Linked DNA regions of Drosophila melanogaster. The protein of the gene in region 3 interacts with the protein of the main gene of each other region in a pairwise test. Each region holds a gene or a part of one and is shown on either strand. Other genes may lie near its edges. The genes, in order: Spx, CG13022 and CG8677.

Evidence for each region.
Region 1: the proteins of CG8677 (region 3) and Spx interact in a two-hybrid assay, tested with the Drosophila melanogaster proteins (one large-scale study listed by BioGRID).
Region 2: the proteins of CG8677 (region 3) and CG13022 interact in a two-hybrid assay, tested with the Drosophila melanogaster proteins (one large-scale study listed by BioGRID).

Annotation. Positions count from the first base shown.
Region 1 is NC_004354.4:6,253,963-6,258,164, forward strand, and holds Spx (spliceosomal protein on the X), read left to right. Parts: upstream 1-1,859; 5' UTR 1,860-1,948; coding exon 1,949-1,982; intron 1,983-2,056; coding exon 2,057-2,140; intron 2,141-2,198; coding exon 2,199-3,124; 3' UTR 3,125-3,634; downstream 3,635-4,202. Other genes in the region: Rbcn-3A (Rabconnectin-3A), read right to left, coding at 1,300-1,386.
Region 2 is NT_037436.4:16,937,807-16,940,755, reverse strand, and holds CG13022 (uncharacterized protein), read left to right. Parts: upstream 1-1,803; 5' UTR 1,804-1,813; coding exon 1,814-2,410; 3' UTR 2,411-2,426; downstream 2,427-2,949. Other genes in the region: Cpr73D (cuticular protein 73D), read left to right, coding at 1-120, 173-1,518.
Region 3 is NT_033779.5:21,219,378-21,224,462, reverse strand, and holds the start of CG8677 (uncharacterized protein), read right to left. Parts: upstream 3,152-5,085; 5' UTR 2,912-3,151; coding exon 2,677-2,911; intron 2,028-2,676; coding exon 1,846-2,027; intron 1,786-1,845; coding exon 1,336-1,785; intron 1,272-1,335; coding exon 1-1,271. Other genes in the region: Atg18b (Autophagy-related 18b), read left to right, coding at 4,166-4,203.

The DNA.
Region 1 (4,202 bases), on a different chromosome or scaffold from region 3:
AAACAAATTGAAATGATGGCAAATGATATGGCGCAAGGCGGTGGGCAGTGGGTGGGTGTTGGGTGGTTGGTGGTCGGTCTGTGAACGGGGGACTGTGTCAACGGCGGTGCTGATTACAGAATAGAATATAGTAGAATATAGAATATATATATAATGTACACATACGCCCCGTGGGGCCTCTCATTAGAATGGCAAAATGTGCACAGTAGTTAATTATGCTTCCTTGGGTTTTTGCAGGAAAACACAGACCTTGTTCTCTACATCGGATAAACATTCTGAGTAAACATATAGTACACATGTCTCAATGGGTGTAATGTTTATAAACTCGAAGTTGACATAGCGAAGTTTATAGTGAGCTCTTCAACTTTTTCCTGTTACCGTTAAAGGTTTTAGACACGAAAATGGCCAGATTGCTAAGAGTATTTGGTAGTATATAGTATAGGGATCGAATAAGGCACATTATAAATGCGTGCTCACGTTTTTTTATTATGGCCGTTTATAATTCCAATTTGCCATTGACGTGGGTTGGCGAAAGGGGTTGCGGGGCGGGGGGTGCTGCCATAGAGAAAGGGTTCGTGGGAAGGGGAAGGTGGGCAGCCTGCAAGCTGCGAAATTAGGGCATCAAAGGCCACCTGACCAATCGAAGGGTATACACACACACATACTCGCACTTATATATATATACATGCGTATATACTTTCAAGCACACACTCTCACTGCAACTGGCGCATGTGTGTGTGTGTGTGTGCGTGCGGCTTGTTTACTGCCAGCACTTGACCTTAAAAAAATAAAAATGTAATTAATTGCTGGCCAGGTATGTAAATGCAGGTGAAAACAAACATTGTGTTGTATTTGTTGTGCCACACAACATACACACACACACACTCGAGCTGCACACTTTGTTGTTATCGAATTTTTGCACAGCGCCAGCCAGCAAACACGAAAAGTTCTCTATCTCATCATTTGCATTTGATTTTTTAATTGACCACCAAGTGTGGCAAAAAAAAACGATATAAAATTCAACACACATTCACACACACCGCACACACGCACACCACACACACGCAAATATGTAAATAAAAACATTAAAGACGTGCTCCGATCGGTTCTTGTTGGAATGACGACGATGGTGATGATGATGCCCCGTTTCCAATTGGAAACGGTTCAACCTTTTGAACCAAGTGTGCGTGGGGGGGTTGGGGGGCGTGTCCGGCTGGTTGGGCCGATAATGGTGCACATTCCGCCACCGATTTTCACCCAATTCGATCCGGATTCGGATTGGGATGGCTCTGTGCTTACTGTAAATGGTATTCCTTCCACGGAGCCAATGGCGAAGCACCGGTCGCCTGCATTGCAAGCGCCGCTCAAAATCTGATGACAATTCATAATTTACACACAGTTGATTATCACATCACAGCGCACGGATATTGGGGTCTTGGTTCTTTGGTTTCTAGCACGAATTTTCCTTGCTTCTTGTAACAAACGACAACAAAGTGACATTACATAAAAATTAGAGTTGGGTTCTTGGCCAGCGCGGCCAATCGAACTATCGATATTAGGGATGGCACGGCATGGGAGGCGAAATATCGCCTGAGTAATTTAAATACGGTTACTCCAATTAACCGAAAAACTGTTTATCATTTAATTAAAATATTATTATTAAAATATTTCATTTTATTTTCAAAAAATAGAGGTGAATATTTTAACCTATTGAAATTATATTTAATTATTCTGCTTCGTCTATATTTAGTATTTTTTCTAATATCCGTTCGATTTGATTCGATTTCGATATCAATTTCGATTGCCAATAAAAACGAAATCGTGGAATATATATCGATTCATGGTATCGATAGGCTGTTTCGATATTCAGGGTTGTGTTGCGAGCATTTTTGCATGTTGAAAACGCCGAAAATTAGTTTTTGGTTTTGTTTATAAAAATAGCTCCGAAATGGCGGCAGGTCCAATTGCTGAACGCAACCAAGGTGGGTTTGACCTCCACTCCACATTTGCACCACTTGGGAGACGCTTTAACCCGCCTTTTCCGTTCCTTCCACAGATGCCACCATCTATGCCGGCGGTCTTGACGACAAGGTGTCGGAAACGCTGCTTTGGGAGCTGTTTGTCCAGGCAGGACCAGTGGGTAAGTCCCGGACACACATGTATAGTGCCTAGCAGCTCCCTAATCGTCATGCTTGCAGTGAACGTACACATGCCCAAGGATCGTGTCACCCAAATGCACCAGGGCTATGGATTCGTCGAGTTCCTCAGCGAGGAAGACGCCGACTATGGAATAAAGATCATGAACATGATCAAGCTTTACGGCAAGCCCATTCGCGTGAACAAGGCGTCGGCGCATCAGAAGAACCTGGACGTCGGCGCCAACATCTTCATTGGCAACCTAGACGTGGAAGTGGACGAGAAGCTGCTGTACGATACGTTCTCCGCCTTCGGCGTTATACTGCAGACGCCGAAGATCATGCGAGACCCAGAGACGGGCAAGTCTAAGAGCTTTGCGTTCATCAACTTTGCCAGCTTCGAGGCCAGCGATGCGGCCATGGACGCCATGAACGGCCAGTACCTGTGCAACCGTCCCATTTCCGTGTCCTATGCCTTCAAGAAGGATCACAAGGGCGAGCGTCACGGTTCGGCTGCGGAGCGCCTGTTGGCCGCCCAGAATCCATCGACCCATGCAGACCGGCCGCATCAATTGTTCGCCGATGCACCGGTGCAAACCATGATGCCCCAGATGCCGGGCCAGATCCCGGCCCAGATGCCGGGCCAGATGATGCCGCCACCCATGATGGCGCCGCCGCCGCCGGTGGTGCCCGTTTCGAATAACAATATGGGCATGCTAGCACCGCCGCCGCCCGTTCCCCAGCCTGCACCGTTCCCAGCTACGATACCGCCGCCTCCGTTGCCACCGATGACCGGCGGACAGCCGCCGCTGCCGCCAGCAATGGGCATTCCGCCGCCGCCTCGCATGATGCAACCAAATGCATGGGCACCGCCCGGCATGCCTGCTCCTCCGCCCAGACCACCGCCCACCAACTGGCGTCCGCCGCCCGTGCCCTTCCCACCCACGCCCTACGCACGGCCCTATCAACCCGACGGCTACCAGTACTAAGTCTAGCGTGTAGTGTATACCAATTTGGACGAGACGAGAAATAAACATCAATAGGATTCATCAATGAAGCCTGCTCTGGGATATGTTAAGATTTCCATTCTTCTTTCTAATATGCATTTAACAACCGGGAAACCACTGGGAGACATTTAGATCATCATTGTATTTCCATTTAGTAGTCGCAATACAATCTTCGAATTCTTACAAGACGAAATTAAATAACTTTGAATAGAATTTTGAAATGAACGAAATGATTTGATATAAATTGACTCTCGATTCTTGATTTTTTTTTAAACGGAACTATTTTCAATAAACATAAAACGTTTACATTAACAAGTCTGTAAGTTTAATTTGAATGGAACATACGAAGAAAGCGATAATTTTTTTTTGTAATTTAACTAAGTATTTTTAAAGGGCTCCCTCTAATTTAATGTCCAATCCTTTGAAGTTATGTATAGAAACTAGCTTGTAGTTCAAAATAAACTGAGGAATGATTTTCCATTTATTGAAATGAAACTAGGATTCTTTTTTAGCATTCCCAAAATGATGCCGTCCCGCTTTTTTTCGAAACACGTTTGTTTTTTGGTCTTGTAATTTGTTTAGCATAAATTTATTAATATGGGAAACATACAAGTACAGTATTTACAATAGTTTTGACTACTATTCATTTTTTACTCTTCGTCTATTGAATTCTTGCCTAAGCGATTTTGGTTTAGTCCCACTGTGCTAACTTCCATTTCGTTTGGTAAAATAACTTAACTTTAGCTTTACGTTTAAATGGTTATATTTAACGTTATTTTCTCCTTCGTCTCTTTGCTTTTGCTTTTGTTTTTTTTTTTTTTGGTTAAGCAAGACAAACAACAACAAAAAAAAAACTGTGAGGCATATAGTAATAGTAATAGTAATAGTAATAGTTTTAATCAATAACGATGTACAAGCGAATCGTTACGCATCAATTTTCTCGCATTTATTTAAATTTCTTTTGGTTTTCGATTTGTTTCTTTCTTTTTTGTTTACCTTAAAAAAGATGTATATATAAAAAAAAATAATAACATAAAAACATTCTGAACTGGTTTGGTTT
Region 2 (2,949 bases), on a different chromosome or scaffold from region 3:
CGCGGGGAAGTCCGGACGATCCGCTGGCCGATCCCTTCGACGATCCATCCTACAGCTTTAGTTTTCGCACTCCGGATCAGTCGCGCAGCGAGGAGAATGATTCCGGGAATAGGATAAGAGGCGAGTTTAGCGAGTATGGTACTTAAGAGTATATTAACTGATTCTATCCCAGGTCTGTACTCCTATTTGGACGACGTGGGCGAGCGGCACAGTGTTCGTTATGCAGCTGGAGCCGGAACCGGATTCGAGATCTCCAACGCTGTGCCGGACAGCCCATCTGTTGTGGCGTACTCCAGTCCTCTGTACACGTCCCATCCCAAAGCACGCGGCAAGATGTCTGTGCAAAGGGGGCCGGCTGGAAGCTATAAGCTGATCGCCTCAGGTTCGGATCACCGACGGGCAGAAAGTCGAGCACCCGATGGCCTGGTGCGAGGAACCTACTCCTTCCTGGACGACAAGGGCGTGCAGCGGACAGTGGAGTATATAGCTGGAGCAGGAATTGGCTACCGGGTGGTGCAAAATCGGATTGGTCCTGGAACCCATAACAATCCCTCTGTGGCTGATTTTCGTTTGACAGATCCAGATTTCCGACTGGCTAATGATTTTGGCAGGGGTGCTGGTGGTGGCTTAGGTCCGAAGGGAGGTGGTGGTGGATCAGGTGGGGGAAGTGTTTCGGTAGGAGCTTCGGGGCCAAGTGGTGGTGCAGGTGGAGCGGGAAGGGGCCGTACTCCAAGCAGACCCGGAGGCAAAGATTACCTAAAGCCGGCTGATGGAGCAAGAGATAGGAATCGTGGAGATGGTGATGCTGGGGCAGCTGATGAAAATCTGGGACACCATGCTGATGACCAAGGGGATGACATTGGGCTTGGCAGCAGCTCCTCTGGTTCCACCAACTTTAATGGCAAAGAAGACAGAAGAGGGTTCCCTGCGGGTAGTCCGCAACGGGGCAGTACTAGATACGATGCCGGAGGTGACAGCTCTCAGAGAGGTGGTTCAGGTAGCTCCACGAGAAACAATGTTAGTGGGTCCCGAAACAGAAACCGATTCGGCGGCGTTGGTGGAGTAAGTGTCTCCTCTGAGCGGGGAGCAGGAAGGGGAGGTGCTGCCGGTGGTGGAAGCAGTCGTCGAGGAGGTGGAGCTGGAGCCTCCAGGGAAGGCGACTCCGGCCTGGGCTACCTGCCGCCCACAGGTGGATCGGGCACCAGTGCCATGAGCGGACCCGGGGACAATTACCACCTCAACGATGACGATGTGGGCAGTTCACTGCCTCCTCTGGTCACCGCCAACCACCGAATTCTAGAGATCGACAGGGATCGGGAGTGGGTGCAGCGACACCGCGACTCCACCGTCATCAAGAACGTGGGTAAATGGTACGTGGGCCTGCCGCCTGGTCAAAGTGTGCGTGCCCATGTCCAGAACATCGACATAATACCCTTGGGCGGAAGGATCGGACTTTCGCCGTCGGAGGCACTGCGTCAGGATGAGATCGCCGAGCTGAATGCCTCAAGGGAGCACTAAGCACCCATTGGATCTGTAGATCTGTAGTTTGTAGTGCGTAGCTCTAAGTGATCAGTGTTGAGTAACCGAAACTGGGTTGACTCCACATGGAAACTAAAACAGTATTTAAAGCGGAATACATTTTTTGCCTGTATCTGTATCTCAAACTGTATCTGTATCTCTAGCGAATAGTTATTTGATATCCGTGGATCCGGGTATAAGCAGGTTAATCTGCACATTGCGGTTTCCTTGAATCCACATATAACCCCATGACTTAGCATGCTCGGAGTTTAGTTGTTTCTGAGACTTGAACATGATGTTGGTGCTTTTCATTGCTTCGCTGATAGTTTCCTGTGCTCAAGGAGCGCAAGTGTATATGCAGTTCAATGGACAAGGATACTCCTACAACACGGATGGCGATAGATTGGATAGGAGTGTCGTTAAGCCTAGTTTTGGGGCATCTTCTCTGGATTCCTTTGGTCCGCTGAACTTTGTGCATCAATCTCTGAGGACAAGACAGAATCCACTTTCCCGGATTTCCTACAATACACAGGATAACCTAGCAGTGGCAACATCTTCGCTGAGTGCGGGCTACCAATTAGCATCGACCAACCACCTGAAGCACCGGCAAAGCCAGCAAAACTTTGATTTCAGCACCGACCAGATGTCGCATGCCCAGCACACCGATGAGGCGGGAAATGTTTTGGGCAAGTACTCCTACTACGATGAGGCTGGCTACCATGAGCTGAGCTACAAGGCGGGCGCCGGCATCGGATTCGTGGTCATGGGTGGCAATTTGGCCAAGGCCACCACCGCCGCTGAACCGCACTCGGAAATCGAAATCGGAAACGGAATCCAAACAAATGCCTTGACTAGCCTGCAAGAGTTGCATAAATATCGTGGCTACACGTAAATAAAATATATTAGCCAAAACTATTGCTCGTTCTACTTGGGTGTTTTGCGTTATTTACTGGAAGTCTTTGGAGATCTGACAGTGTCACCTGTCGTGTTTGAGACCTACGTGATCGGGGATCTGAACTGTAAACATATGTCAAAGAATGAATGACTTGTAAAACAGAGTTCATTCAAAGAAAAGAGTGCAGCTTTGCTTGGTTATAGAATGCAAGCAATAGTCAAATATTATCGAGAGCTCTGGATTTCATAACTTCTACGCGGCACAAAATTATCTTTGGATCGGAAGACATTATATTAACATTTATAAATAATGGTGAAATTAAAAAAAAAATGTACGTAAAAATAGATGTCCAAAAATGTATGAATTCTTTTTGTAATTGTAAATCTTGGAATATAATATTATGCTAAATAGGACGGTAGAAAGAATATTTTTCTTCATTTTAAAAAGAAACATAACTTGAGTTCCATAAAAGCGGTCATCGCATTAATAGAAAATTTTCTTGCCTGGACATAATTTTTAAACGTTTTACAATAAAA
Region 3 (5,085 bases):
GCGCTCGTTGCCGTTTCCTGTTCTGATTTCATTTTGGAATCATGTTGGTTAGGTACAGGGCTTTCTGTTTCACACGAAAGTTTCTCATCACATGCAGTGTCCAAGGCATTTGTCGAAATTTGCTGATGATTTATTACCAGTTTATCCTCAACTGTACCGCTTTCCAGGACGCATTTTTCTGTTACTGGTTTCTTTGTATTGTTCAGATCAGCTGGAACTTTATGCTGATCCTGAGTCTGAATAGAGGAGTTATCACTTTCATTTGAATTATTTTGTAAGACTGAAACTTCTGTCCTATTCCTCACTCCTTCTTCAATTGCCTCACTTTCGGTACGACCTTTAGAGATTTCCTCATTCTTTTCGATCACGCTTATTGTACTATCCTGTATATTCCTTTTAGCCACTGGTACGGATTCCTTTTTTTTTATTTGATCATCTGAGATTTTATTTACGTTAGCTTCTTGGCATATGTTAGTCTCTTCTAATGTAGCTGCACTCGCAGATGCTGTTTCTTCACTATCTCCCAGAGTTTTTGTGAGTTCGCTTCCATTTCGGGGCGGTGTGTTCACTATACACTTTTCGCTTTCACCATTTGTTTTCTCCTCGCTCAAGCTGTCAAAAATGCCCCGTTTTGCCTCTGGTTTTGATGTTTGCTTCATGGGACTTAGCTTGAGACATCCGGGCTCGCCAAAAAAGAACGTCGCTTTTGGTTCCGATGTGCGCGTTGACGTTTCCTCCACGGAAGCTTCGTTTTTACCATTCCCCACGAGACAGTCGGTCCCCCACCCTTGACCAATCACATGGAGCATTGGATCTGCAATGGCTTCCCCGATCTCCAAGTCATCCTCATAATCAAAGTTGCCAATTAAATTATAAGGGATGGCTTCACAGTCAAGTCCTGATCCTTGGCCCTGCACCACTATCGTTGGATCCTCTATAGGCTCTCCAGTATCTTCCTCATCGTCATCTTCCTCGATATCCGCCGCCGCACTATCGACATCTTCCTCTTCCTCACCCTCATCCAATTCAGAATCCTCCTCGTCCTCTTCTTCCTCATCCTCTTCTCCGGACTCTTCTTCGATTTCATCCTTAGTGCTTTCGTAGCGACTTGGCTTTTTGATTCGCTTTGTATCAAGCAGTGTGGGACGGTGCTTCTTCTGCTGTTCCTCCTGGGAGGCTGTGGGGCTGCTGTCTACGTCTTCGATAGAACGTTTTTTGGTTGGGGCCGGCGATGCGCTACTCGAAAGTTTGGCCTGGCTAATGAGCAGTGGCTGAAAGACCGAGAATGAAATCTTATCTAAAAATGCAAAGCTCCTTGGTTAAATCCATACACACCTTAACCTTTTTAGACTTTTGATCCTCTTGCTCGGGAGAGCGGAGTTTAATCTTTAGATTGGGTACAGTTTTTTCGGGCTCATCTCCAACTTCCTCATCGTCCTCTTCTTCTTTCTGTTCGGGGGGCGGTGGTTTGGGATGACAACTGTTGCTGCTGCTGGTGTCCTCATCGGCCTCACCAATGTCCTTCGAAGGAAGTACCACCTCATTTCCGCGCAGCCTTGAAATGAGATTTACAAACTCGTCCCTGTTCGTGGCAACCACCTGCCAAATTTCCTCGTCTAGATGCTCCTGGTAGATCCGCAGATTACAGTGGGCATCCTGAGTCAGCCAGTAGGCATGTCCCAACCGGTCCCTTCCAATTGGCTCAGAGCGTAAAGTATCGGCATTCAAGGTGAGGATGTGGGCCCGAAACTTGGCATTGCGTTCAAACTGACTTTCGAGAAGTTCCTGTACGGGAAAGACGCCCTTTAGAACGGTTTATCAAGTGGTACGAAATTCGTTACTCACCCGAAATATTCGCAGCTTAACCTTCAAGCTGGAATTCCTATAACCGAAACGTTCGATTTCCCAGGCATCTTGCACCGAGTAGCCGAAGCAGAATTTGCTGAGGGCGGACTCCCAACTCTTTTCGTGAACCGTCTTACGGGTCTTACGGAGCAGCTTTATGTGCAAGTCCCTTAGCTCAGGAACTACAAAGATTCGTTATAATTAAATATTAGTAAAAGTTCTGCGAAAAGGAAGAAAGTGACAGCGGAATATAAATGGATTGTGGGTGGATTATGAGGGCAAGTGAAATAAATGCAACCGCGTTTGTTGTAGTGTACACTTTTTGTGTCTGCTGTTGCTCACGCAAATACATACAAAACGTAGAAACTTAGCATGATTATAACTTTTTTAAACAAATATATTTTCAGGTTCCCTCCCACTCGTGACCCTAAATATTTAATATATTTCCAGATGCAGGTGTACATTAAAAAAAAAAAACCAACTTTTAGTGTTCAATTGTAGCTCTCTTACTATCTCTCAAATAAGAAGACCAGAGCAAATGTGGGAAATATTTACGTCTCTCCCAGATTTGTTTTGTATATTGCGCTTGTGTTGAGATGAAAACAAATCGCAGTGCTCTCTCTGCCATTGAGCAATCTCTTTCTCTCTGACGAGCCAAGCACGCTCTCCAGAGCGGAGCATTGTTAAATCTCTGGAGCAGACCTATTCGAAAACACTACATCCGTAGTTTCCACCGCCACTTGCCCCACGATAATTGAACCTGACATAAATTAATTTGGCAAAAAACTGCTTCCACCCCGCTCTCTTGATACCACCACCCCACCCTCTCACCATCGTTGTTGTTTGTCAACCACTCCTGCAGATGCTTGAAGTTGGGCAGGTTAAGACCCAGGTCCTTGCCGAATTTTTGCAGGAAGGCGCAAATGACCGCAAAGTCCGGATCATTGGCGCATGTGTGCAGCGTGGAGGTGAGGGCGTCGTCGTCCTTGCACTCCTCCGATATGGAGTCCGTCGGAAGCGGGATCGGATTGGTGGGCGCCGCAGCCGCAGCTGAGGACGCCGCCATTTTTCATGCGTCCCCGAGAACCAGCGAAAATTTTCGGGTGTTGTATACTACTCTGGCAAAACCTCAAAACGGGCACTGCAAACACGAGTCATTTGTCCAAGGATCAAGTTCTCTGGTCGCACGGCACTGCGAGACTTCGAGGGTGCATATTTCTTGCCGCGAGACAGCTCTTGTACGGGATAAAATCCTATTTTAAAGCAAGCGAAAATGCTTTATTTTCTGTTGTGAGTTTCAGTGTGGCCGCGCAGTCACTTTTCGACAATACTGCAGATTGCACCCATGTAATTGAAGCGAGTTGGCAGTCGATGCACTGGGGAACTAGTTTCTAGTATACTTGGCGTATGCATGAAAACGATTTTTACAAACTACGAATACATTTATAACTTACTCAGATTCGCGTTAAGACAGTTTTATTTTTAAGTTAGCGCTAGACTATGAAATGTGTATTAAATGTTACAAATCTAAAAATTGTTTTACTATTAAATAGGCTATGCAAAATTTATTAAATCGACGAACAATATAGGTTATAATATAAATTAGGAACAAAAGGTATAAAGTTTTAGTGTAGATCAAGTTGAAGTAGGGAAATACATTATGGGAAATACAATTTTGCTAAGACAGAAGAACCTTATAAGAAGCTTAACACGTCCACTGTTTTGTTCCGATTTGATAGAAAATTTGACACAACACTTAGATAATTGTAGATACTTATTGGAAAAAACTATTTTAATGTTTATATAAAAAGAAATGAAACTGACATATACACACTAAATGCACTGTAATTGTGTGAAATATGAGGTAATTTTATGATTTTTCCAATGCAAATATATGCGGATACATGTATATATATTGTCCATTTCAATTTTTAATAACAATTTTACATTTTCCGTTACACAAATGATTTAACGGTATATATGGCATTTGGTGAACACGGCTGGTTCAGTTCCCGAACCCAGTTCCAATGATGATGATTTATGTGTGTGTGTGTTGTGTGTAGGGGGAATTTGTTGATAGATAGAACGAGAAAAACAGTCGCAGCAAAACAACAAAGACGACGCAAAACAGTCGAATTTAGTTTTCAATATCAAGTGAAATCATTTCGCTTTGCTCATCTGCCATCGTCGATCAATATCTTGTGTACTCAAACGACGGGACTCTGCAACTGAATATCGCTGAAAAAAAGCATCTAAAGACCAGTGAAAGTGTAACTATATAAAAAAAATACAATCACCAAAGCACAAATCTTCAGCAGCAATGACCACATATCAAATGAACTTCAACCAGGACTTTACGTAAGTAGCGACATCTGTGCTTAAATCCTTAAATCCCGGAAGGTCACCAAAGCGAAAAGTGGCAAACAATTGAGACACAAAAATCGACAAATGAGACGGGTAAATAAGGCGAAAACAGCTGCTGTGGGGAAGGTGGACGGGGATCGTTAGTGTGTCTGTGGGTAAGCGTGAATTGGCGTCATTTTTCGTGTCGTGTGTGTGTGTAGTTTATTAGAACATGCAAACAAGCAGTTCCAATTACAATAGCATGCATTCATCTAACATTTTGGAATGCCTTTCCCGTTTCGGGAGGGGGCTGGGAACCGAACTCGGTACACTGTCAGTGGCCAACAAGCGACCGATTTAGCAGTATTTCCATTCTGATGGCCACTGTGCGGGACACCAACACTCGCACAATTGGCGCACAATCAATTGTTTATGCGCAACAGCTGATGACTAAGGAACAAATGAAAGTGCGGAGCGATAAGGATGAAATAAAATGACAAGAAACAAAGGGGGTCAATCTGGCGGGAGCGCACTGTAGCTATCAACGCAGCCTTAATCTCGAGCTTAATTAACCAGTTTCGCTATTGCACGGTACGTTGATGTCATCCAAGAACAGGGTGAGGGAAGAAGTGCGAGCAAGCCTTAGAAAGAAACGCAAACATCAATATGACTATTTGTGGTGAAAATCGAATCGAAAAGAATATAATCTGAAAAATTTGTCATAGCTCAAACAAAGCAAAAGAGAGATTTCCAATCAGTAACAAATCAAGCACGGGTGAATGTACGCGAAAACGCAAGTCAAACAATTGGCTATTATCTTTTGGGGGTTTTCCTACGATACTCTGTAGTTTTAAAAAAAAAAACTCAAGTCTCAAGTCTATCAGCAATGTACAAATT